Linked DNA regions of Schizosaccharomyces pombe. The gene in region 2 interacts genetically with the main gene of each other region. Each region holds a gene or a part of one and is shown on either strand. Other genes may lie near its edges.

Region 1 (4,038 bases), on a different chromosome or scaffold from region 2:
AATGGTTCGTTCCGCAGGTGGTGCCGCTTTCCCTCTTTTCATTGATTATATGATGGATGGTATGACTCGTCAATGGGCCTTCTTTTTGTTGGGTATGGTTGCCGTTGCCGCTATTCCCATTCCTTTCACCTTTTACTTGTTTGGTGATAAGATTCGGGCTAGATCCAAGGCCGCTATTGTTTAAAACAGCTTGTTTTGTGTCTTTTTTTTCGTTATGCATTTGGTTTGCGTTGTGTACATGCAAGGAATTTAAAGCCTCTATTATTTCAGTTGGCTATCCCACTTTTTTAAAAGATATGCCAACAATCTTGGCTTCGTAAAGCGGTCAGAATTTGCTGCTTTGCTTTTTTCGCCTCAGGGATCATTCCATAAGTGAACTTAGATATGTTCCTTAAGCATGCTTCCACCTATCCATTGCTAAAATTTTTTAAAATTCTTTAGCTCATGTCCCCACAGTTTCAGTTTGGGTTTGGGATTTCTTGAATTTGTCTCCAATATTGGTGCACCGTTGCGTTTGAGAAGCTGCCTTAATATTTAAATAATGTCCAAGCTTCATAGAAATCGTGGTTTTTTTTTAATTTCATGTATGCGGTTTTGTGTTTGAAAGTTTTACGTTACTATTATGACGGAATTTACCACGTGTATTCTGGTTATCATAAAGCTATTGTTAATTACACGTTACATGTTTCGAAACCTGCGACGATGTCTGCTCTCGCTTTTTAAAATTTAATTATAGAATATAGACTTTAGAGATAAAGCTATTTATTTCTCAAATATTTCAAATTAATTAACTATGAAACCTTTGATAAATTCTAAATATTGGGTGAATAGTAGCAGTTATGTATCGTACATTGAGTGTAGATAGTAATGTGAGTGCGCGCTACTACTATAGGAGTTCCTTTGAAATAACGTATAACATGAATTTTCAAACACAGTCCAGCTGGTTTGCACACCTTCATTATTAGTTAATTAGCAGCAATGGCACGCAAAAAGACATAAAATTAACGTAAAAATAAGTAAAAATTTGGGCATAACAGTATCAGATTAATCCAATTTTAAACTGATTCGTTTGAGGAAGATTTATAGGAAGCTTCTGATAAAAGCCTTAATAAATTCATAGTATCCACATATTTGGAGAAGGACAACAAACTTTTACGATGGGCTATGAAATCCTGGGCAGCAAGGCGACCATATGATGATCGGACTTCAGGTCCAGCGTTAGTCAAAGAATGCAAGGTATGAATATTTTCAGCAAGCATGTCCAGGAGAGTGTGGAATTTTGGTTTCAGCTTACTTATATTAGGAAGTTCTGGTGCATCATCTGGGGGTAATGGAGAGTCCTGTTTATCAAGGTCTTGTTTAGAATCTATGGATTCTACAGCTTTTTTAAAAGATAAAATTGATTTATCTGAACTGACGGAATTAGCAGCAACAGCCCGCCATGCAGCTTCTTCATTATGGAGTTGGGTAAGCTTTGCCGACAGTTCGTCCACTAGCTGAGCATTTTTGAGATTTTGAGGATGAGGTTTATTAGGAATTACAGCATCAGGTGGTCTTTGATACCAACTAACACTAACTTTATTAGCCAATAATTCGTTAAGAACTTCTTGAACTATTGATCTAGCAATAGCTGCCTCACTGGCTTCCTCCGTTTCACCGTATTTTTTTCTTTGCTCTTCTAAGGCCTTTGAAGAAGCCCAAAGGAGAAGTTGTTTGATACGTAAAGGTTCGGATAAGTCTTTGGATATATGGCGATAGTATTCATGCGATGGAACATCTGCATGTGGTAAAGCTTCAAATCCAGTACCAATGCTACTAGCACGCTTACCCCGTTGGTCAAGACTACTCCTTCTTCCTTTACCCTTGCGAAGTTCTTTGTTTCGCTTCACAATTGGTGTATCAGACACGGGTAGCTCAACTAACCCATCGGTTTGGGAGGTATCTGGATCATCCTCCACAGATGATTTCCTTCTTTTAGAACCAGCTTTTTCTTTACCCTTCCTAACGAATACAAATCCTTCCTGCTCTTCAGGCTTTCGTTTCATAATGGATGCTGGTTAGGGTCAAGTCGAGTCAGGATTGCAAAGACTACCTTACTCATTGTTTACACTAGGTAACCTAACAAAGTATAGCGAGCGCGTTATAAGTCGGCCTTACAATTGAGCATTGAAAATTCATCAAAGCAAAGTATATTCATGTAGAGAATAAATAAAAAAATAAATAATGATTAAATTCTTTTTTACTGTTAAGTATTCCTTTCTTTTTGGAGATACACTTGTTACAACTTGGTATAAAATATTTGTTTAATTGCTAGATTATCTTCGAACTTGCAAAAACAAAAATATATATCCTTTTTTCTGCTGTAAAATAATAAGAATAATAATTTTAACATAATCCATTGAATGGTTGGTTAATTCCCCTTATAAATTCATAAGACCTCTTCTTATACTATATCAAGTTTACTGTTTATGTAATATATATATATATATATATATATAATTGAGGAATGCGACATGAAATGCTAAGCTGAAAAGTTATGCAAATTACAAAATGTGGATATTATTACCATTAAAACTGTTTACAGTTTTTGACAAATAGTCAAGATGTCCATGAGCTGCCAGGATTGAGCTTGTACTTTATCATAATTGTTGAAAAATATAGCGACGATAAATAAGATGAATAATCAAATATAAGTATAATGAAAAATATTCGAGTATTCTATATGTACAAAATCTAAATTGTAGTAATTTTCAGACTTAGCTGGTTATTGTTGATTTTAAATCGCTGCATATTATTTACAGAAAGTACCCAATTTTAGATTACATGGCTTTGCAGACAAGCCAGAACTTTAAGGATCCAGTATAGTTTTAAGAATTAAAAGTTTGAATTATCCTACTCTTAAAACACTTCCTATATAAAGTTGTTTCAAAATATTCTGCAGTCAAAAAGGCAACAGTAGTCGGTGTTTAAAGCTCTTTTTAACTTAAGTGAAGTAATAGTTTTCTTATTATAATTATTAATTTATTTGTTTTATTTATTTTAATTAAACATGGAATTTATAACCACAGCATGTCCTGTACAACTTACTTTTCGAGCACTTACTTAGGTTGCCATCATCCTCAAATACGAATTTATTTCGGAATTTTTAAATTCTTTATAATTGAAAAGAATCTTTACTGATTATCTGTTCTTAATCTGTCTCAGTGTATTGCCAAGATCTACGACGATCTGTCTCATCTCTCTTGTATCTTTCCTTTCTACTACATCGAAAGTTAGAGTTAACTGGATTCATTGAAACCAGGGTTTTTTGGAGCCAATTCTAAGTGGTATGTTATGTAATAGTATCCTTTTTGATAATTGTAATTGCTTTTGTTTCTCTGAAATTTTTAATCGATGTTCTATGTTATACTATATAGACCTCATACAGAAGAAGCATATTAAAACGAAATGAAAAGAGATCACACGGATTTTCTTTAAATACTTTGTTATTTTTATACCAAAAGCTAATTGTCTTCAAGTGGAATAGTTTAAACCTTCATTTCTACATCAAGTTCATTTCAAATGGCATTATTAAAAACTTCGTTGGATGCTCCATTCACTAAAATTGCTACCGGCAAAGTCAGAGACCTGTATGAGTGTGTAGAATTTCCCGATGATCTTTTGTTCGTAGCAACAGACAGAATAAGCGCCTATGATTTTATCATGGAGAACGGCATCCCTGAGAAGGGAAAGGTTTTGACAAAAATTTCAGAATTTTGGTTTGATGTTTTAAAACCTCATGTCCAAACTCATTTGATTACTTCTAGGTGGGAAGAATTACCTCCTGTTATCACGAAGCATGAAGAGTTAAAGGATAGATCCATGCTCGTTAAGAAATACAAGATTCTTCCTATCGAAGCTATTGTTCGTGGCTATATCACTGGAAGTGCTTGGAAGGAATATCAAAAGCAAGGGACTGTTCATGGCCTTAACGTACCTACAGGAATGAAAGAGGCAGAGGCCTTCCCTGAACCCCTTTTCACCCCCAGCACCAAAGCT
Region 2 (5,305 bases):
GGAGGTTAAAGTTGAAGGCAGAAGACAGGCATGTATGGAATAGTGTGTAAACTTTGTTACTACGAAACGATTAATCGGTGCTAAGCTAGATATAAGTTTCTGACGAAAATTAATTGTAGTAATTACAATAAGTAAATATAATTCTAAAGTTTTGATAAAAGCTATAACGCTAATATTGCGTAAACAATTGGATGAAACGAAAACACCCTGGTATAGTAAAGTTGATTTGTTTCATAAATTTTGTATATGTTATAAACAAAACTTTATGTACTTGAAATTATTTTTTATAAAGTGAGAACGCCCAGTTGTTCATTAAAGTACTGCTTGGACATATTTGAACAGAGCTGGAGTACCTAATTTCAATAATTCTTTATTTTTGAAACACTAAAAGTTTTAGAGATCAAAATAGCAATTGAAAAGTATTTTTTTTTTTATTAAAAAAAAAATTTATTAAATTTTCCTTTGTTGGAACATATTTTAGAACATGGGAGTGCCAGTTAAAACTAAAAATAATATTGTTTTGAAAAACTACATCTTAAAGTAAATGATCATCGAATGTGCTGTCAGTACTACGACAAACAGACCTCCGATATAAACCGACACTTTAAGTACTTAAGTTAATTATTATTCTTAGCATCGTATAGATACTGTCAAAATTTTTTGTAAAATATAAAAGTTCAAAGTACTAAAGCATCACCATCATGCATCAAATAATAACGCCCTAGATATTTGTTCACTAAATATGTAAACAAAAGATGATTGAAGTACAGTAACAATAGACGAGCTATGAGAGTAGTGAGGTTTGTTTTAAATACCTTATTGTGCTAATACTGAAACACATTGTAATCTTATCGCGCATTTTATCAATAAAGTAGTGTAGTGTGCACAACTTATACGCTACTTTGTTTGGTAGTCGTGACTGTCTTTCTCGAGGTTTTGCTAATTCATCGTACACATTAAAATCTATCAGTAACCTTCTGCCATCGGCCCTAATAGTTTCGAGAAGCAGTTTCAAAAATGACTAAGGGTACTCAATCATTCGGTATGAGACATAACAAGTCTCATACCATTTGCCGTCGTTGTGGAAAGCGTTCTTTCCACATTCAAAAGAGCACCTGCGCATGCTGTGGTTATCCCGCTGCCAAGACTCGTAGTTACAACTGGGGTGCTAAGGCCAAGAGAAGAAGAACTACTGGCACTGGCCGTATGAGCTATTTGAAGAAGGTTCATCGCAGCTTTAAGAACGGATTCCGTAAGTAATTGCACGATCGGTGGAGATCCTGTTGTATTTTTCGTTTATTTATTAACATTTTATTTAGGTGCTGGCAAGCCTACTTCCGCTGCTACTGCTTAGGTATTGCATTAATCGATTTATTCTCGAAGGAGGTTCATTTCTTTCAATGAGTGAAGTGCGTAGTAATGTTAAATGTATTCATCGTATGCTTATAATGTAATTTAAGTTCAGTAAAAATTGGCTTTTTTGTACCGACTTTGCCTTGTATTGATACAAACGTGATAAATCTTTTTACGTCTTAAAAATAGTCTATTACAGGATATTTGTGGTGTTTCCAGCACCACAAATACTAAAAACCGTGGCAGCAGACATGAAAGGATTTTACGTGCAAAAATAAATCACTTCACTCGTGTTATTTTGGGTGTTTTAATTTCTCATTTTTATCTCTTCCCAATACTTGAAATATAAGCTGGCCAAAGAATGCTGGTAGTACAGTTTGTTTGTGTGATTTTTTCTAGAATTTAAACAATTATATTTGCATTCCATTCCGATATTTTTCACGAAGCATTGTCAATCGGTATTTTAACTGGTAATAAATTTGATACTATGGTGGTAAAAGATAAAAGATAATAATAATTGTTATTTTTAGTATAATATATTACCGTTAAGCTGTTTATTTTGATAAAACATTTTGGTTGTTTAAGTAATTTTAATAATGAATCGTGTTTAATTAATTTATCTCAGAACAAATAATGGTTTCCACTGTTTCATTCTTTTAATGACTCAATTCTGCAAAATATTCAGCAAATTTTATTTATTTATTTATTAGAATTTGGTTTATTAGACTGCAAAAGCTTAAGCATATTCTGATTCCCTGATTTCTTATTACAAAACAATTTCGAGGTTACATCGACGATACCAATGGATCAAAATAAATCGACACAGGCAACTGGAAATGGAAAGAAGACAGAGGAAATAAATGAATTGCTTGAAAGTTTTATAAAAGAAGGTCCTAAATTACTTTGGGGGTCGACGAATTTGAAATACGAAGACCAAATAAGTCGTTCGTCAGAACATGAACTTCAGCAATATAGGGTTCGTGAATTTCTAAAAAAGCATGAGTTTATATTTTATAATTTTTTAAAGATGTCCGTGAAAAAGAAATTGTACTAATTACTCGATTAGGAACTTTTTACTCGATTGAAGTTTTCTTATATCGAGCAAGGGACGAAGGAGTACGTCGCAGATTATTTTTACAAGTTTTAAATATGTATTAACAATTTGAAAAGGAGATATTTAAGAGCCATACTGGATGACCCACCTATGCTCGTTGAAGCGGAAGACAATGAAAAATTAGGTATAATATATATTGAATTTTATTTCTGCAGACTTTTATTTTTACTAATGAGACTTAAAGAAACGACAAATTCTTCTCTTAAGGGGAGGCTTAAATCCGAAAAAAGAGAAGTTGATTTGCTCACAGAAGAGTTAAAGACAACGTCTAGGGAATTATCTTCTAGTATGTTAACTGGAATTTTTTTTACTTATTGACATCTTTAAGATTATGAATCAGTGATGGAAGAGTGCAAAAACACAAAGTCTACACTCTCCAAGCTCGAAAGTCTGGAAAGTGAATTGTTAAAACTACAACAAGATTCTTCAACAAAGGTAATAAATGTTTGGATTATAAGATGCTAAACTTCTAGACTCCCATTTTACCAGAGGTTGAAGCAGCTATTCATGACCTCGAAAGCGAATTAAACATCACTAATGAATCCATAGAAACTATCGATGGGAAGATAGACAATGATGAAAAATACTTTATACAACTAACCAAAAACCTTTCTTTACTTGAAAAGGAATATAAAATAGCTTCTGAGAGGTCTAATCAAATTAAAGCAGCAATCCACACTAGAACGCCCGATGCTGACGCAAAAAAACAAGTGCAAAATTGGTATACCTCGATGCTTGAAATTTATGATCAACTTCTTCAAAAATAAATAAAAAACCAATTTTAGTAATAATGTATGACACTAATCTCTATTCCTGCTAGGAACCCAGCGCCTTAAGGTTACACATCGAATTAAATATTGTCGAAGTACAGACTCTGCCCAATCCCATTCATTCATTGAGGCTTGATTTTTCCATATTTTATTAAAGTCTTCAATGCTAGGACATTGAACATAGCATAATATTAGGCTCTTTTTCACTTGCGCAATTACCCGATTTAGACAATGAACTTCATGCCATTGCATGTTATATTTTTGTTTGTTTCCAACACATGGAATTAGCAAAATAGCAAACTCGGCATGGCTGAAAACTGGACCCTTTTTGTACAATACTATTTCTTGTTAAAAAAATCTGAAGCGATGTATATAATAAACTTACAAAAATCCACCGAAAATTTGGTTCCGTTTTTTACAACCCAACCTTGCTGACGAAAGTAGAAATAAGCAGCCAATTCAGTTAAAAATTTGTTGTCCGGCTCAATAATAGGGTCTTCATGGCTTTGCTGTAAAGAATAATCATGAGTAAGGGCAACTGAATTAGCAACTATGTTGGCAAAAAGCTTTAAAATAGGTAAAAGTTCAAAATTAGGGTTTTCGTAGTTGATTCGAAGGACTCCCAAAGAAGCTAAAAAAAAGGCTTCCGGAAATGTTAGCTGTAGGTGCTCAACATTAGGCACTGAAGTAATATGGTATGGATTTTCGGAAACTCGGGAAAAGTCTTTAAGAGATTTCGTTAAATACTCAGGAAGTTCTGCATCTTCTTCTAAAGATGCTGGAATCGGCTTGCCATTTTCTAATAGTAATTGCCTCTCACGAGCACGATTTTCCCTATAAGCTCTTTGTGCTTTAAATTGTTTTCGCTGAAATCTCCTACGCGCGGTAACTTCCTCAGCTACAAGGTCTTCATCAAATCCAAGAAGTCCCAGCGATCGCTTAGTTCGTGTATGCCAAGTTGGCTCGCTACGAGACAAATTTCCTTTTCCAAAAAAACCTGATGTCCAAAATTTTTTAATAGCTTCACTATCTGTTACAACACAGCTGAGGTCACTTTCATGAAGCTGACATTGCCATTGTACTTGCCTGGGTGTCTTTCTAAATAGGTACCGATATATATATGGTATCCAGGTTAAAGGATTAGTAAGAATAATAGGAGGAAGAGGATAAGCTAAAGAAATAGGGAGCGCATCCTTATAAACTTCATGATTTTTCGACATTTTTTGTGACAGTAAAAGTAGTAACACATTAAATACTAAATTTATATTAGCACATAAATTAGAGAAAAAGTATGTTTGTTTCTCTTATTTGCAGACTGTTCGAGTTACAGATGGCATACATCCAAGAATTGGGTTCAGAACTAGCAATTACTGCAACTACCCTAATTTGGTGGTGATAAATATTTACAATTCTTTAGCTTTCTTTGATTTACACATACCGGGATAGAAATTCTAAAAAAACAGTATACAGGAAGCATTAAATTTAAATGCTTTTGCATAAATAAAACAATTTCTGTATAAAAAAAAACACTTTATTGACATACTAGAGGGCGTTATTCTTAAATTTTTTGTTCCTAAGCCTACTCGTGTTTTTTCTGTTTGTACAAATACTTATACCTTTTGTTCTAAAAGGAATTTAATATTAAGAATCGGTTTCATAAGAAGTTATACACAATTCGGATTTACTATTCTTTTGTTTCAGCTAAACGACTTAAAAGAGCAATTGAATCCTTGGTTTATGGTTTTCACTTATGTTTTATCTCAACTGTTCAGTCAATTTTCATTTCTTAAATTTTTTTCCTTTTTTTAACACTCCTTAATGAAACAGTACTTGAACACAGTTATTTCCAACCCTAGACCAGCACAAGCGTTGGGAATCAATCAACCATTTGTAGTATTTTGCTTTATTACATCTCGTGCTCTTTCATTTGTACCTGCGATTTACTGGTGCTTCAAATGTTTACATCTAGCTTTTGTTGCTGACAAGTTCAAATGGCTCCCATTAACATCGGCCCTATGGACTCTGGTAATAACTCGTGGATAATGCATAATACTAATTTTTATAGGTA

The links.
Region 1: of sos7 (region 2) and mis13, extra expression of one rescues a mutant of the other (dosage rescue), as found in Schizosaccharomyces pombe (one study listed by BioGRID).

Annotation. Positions count from the first base shown.
Region 1 is NC_003423.3:1,153,557-1,157,594, forward strand, and holds mis13 (MIS12/MIND complex Mis13/Dsn1), read right to left. Parts: upstream 2,066-4,038; 5' UTR 2,046-2,065; coding exon 1,056-2,045; 3' UTR 748-1,055; downstream 1-747. Other genes in the region: SPOM_SPBC409.08 (spermine family transporter), read left to right, coding at 1-184; ade7 (phosphoribosylaminoimidazolesuccinocarboxamide synthase), read left to right, coding at 3,562-4,038. UniProt on the Schizosaccharomyces pombe protein: Acts as a component of the NMS (Ndc80-MIND-Spc7) super complex which has a role in kinetochore function during late meiotic prophase and throughout the mitotic cell cycle.
Region 2 is NC_003424.3:1,274,518-1,279,822, forward strand, and holds sos7 (protein sos7), read left to right. Parts: upstream 1-1,976; 5' UTR 1,977-2,155; coding exon 2,156-2,329; exon of another isoform or gene 2,330-2,409; intron 2,410-2,419; coding exon 2,420-2,469; intron 2,470-2,523; coding exon 2,524-2,591; intron 2,592-2,602; exon of another isoform or gene 2,603-2,651; coding exon 2,652-2,753; exon of another isoform or gene 2,754-2,795; coding exon 2,796-2,902; exon of another isoform or gene 2,903-2,940; coding exon 2,941-3,234; 3' UTR 3,235-3,267; coding exon of another isoform or gene 3,268-3,575; 3' UTR 3,576-3,622; coding exon of another isoform or gene 3,623-4,457; 3' UTR 4,458-4,483; downstream 4,484-5,305. Other genes in the region: rpl3703 (60S ribosomal protein eL37), read left to right, coding at 1,018-1,252, 1,320-1,354; tRNA-splicing endonuclease catalytic subunit Sen2, read right to left, coding at 3,268-3,575, 3,623-4,457; eos1 (N-glycosylation protein), read left to right, coding at 5,056-5,262, 5,303-5,305.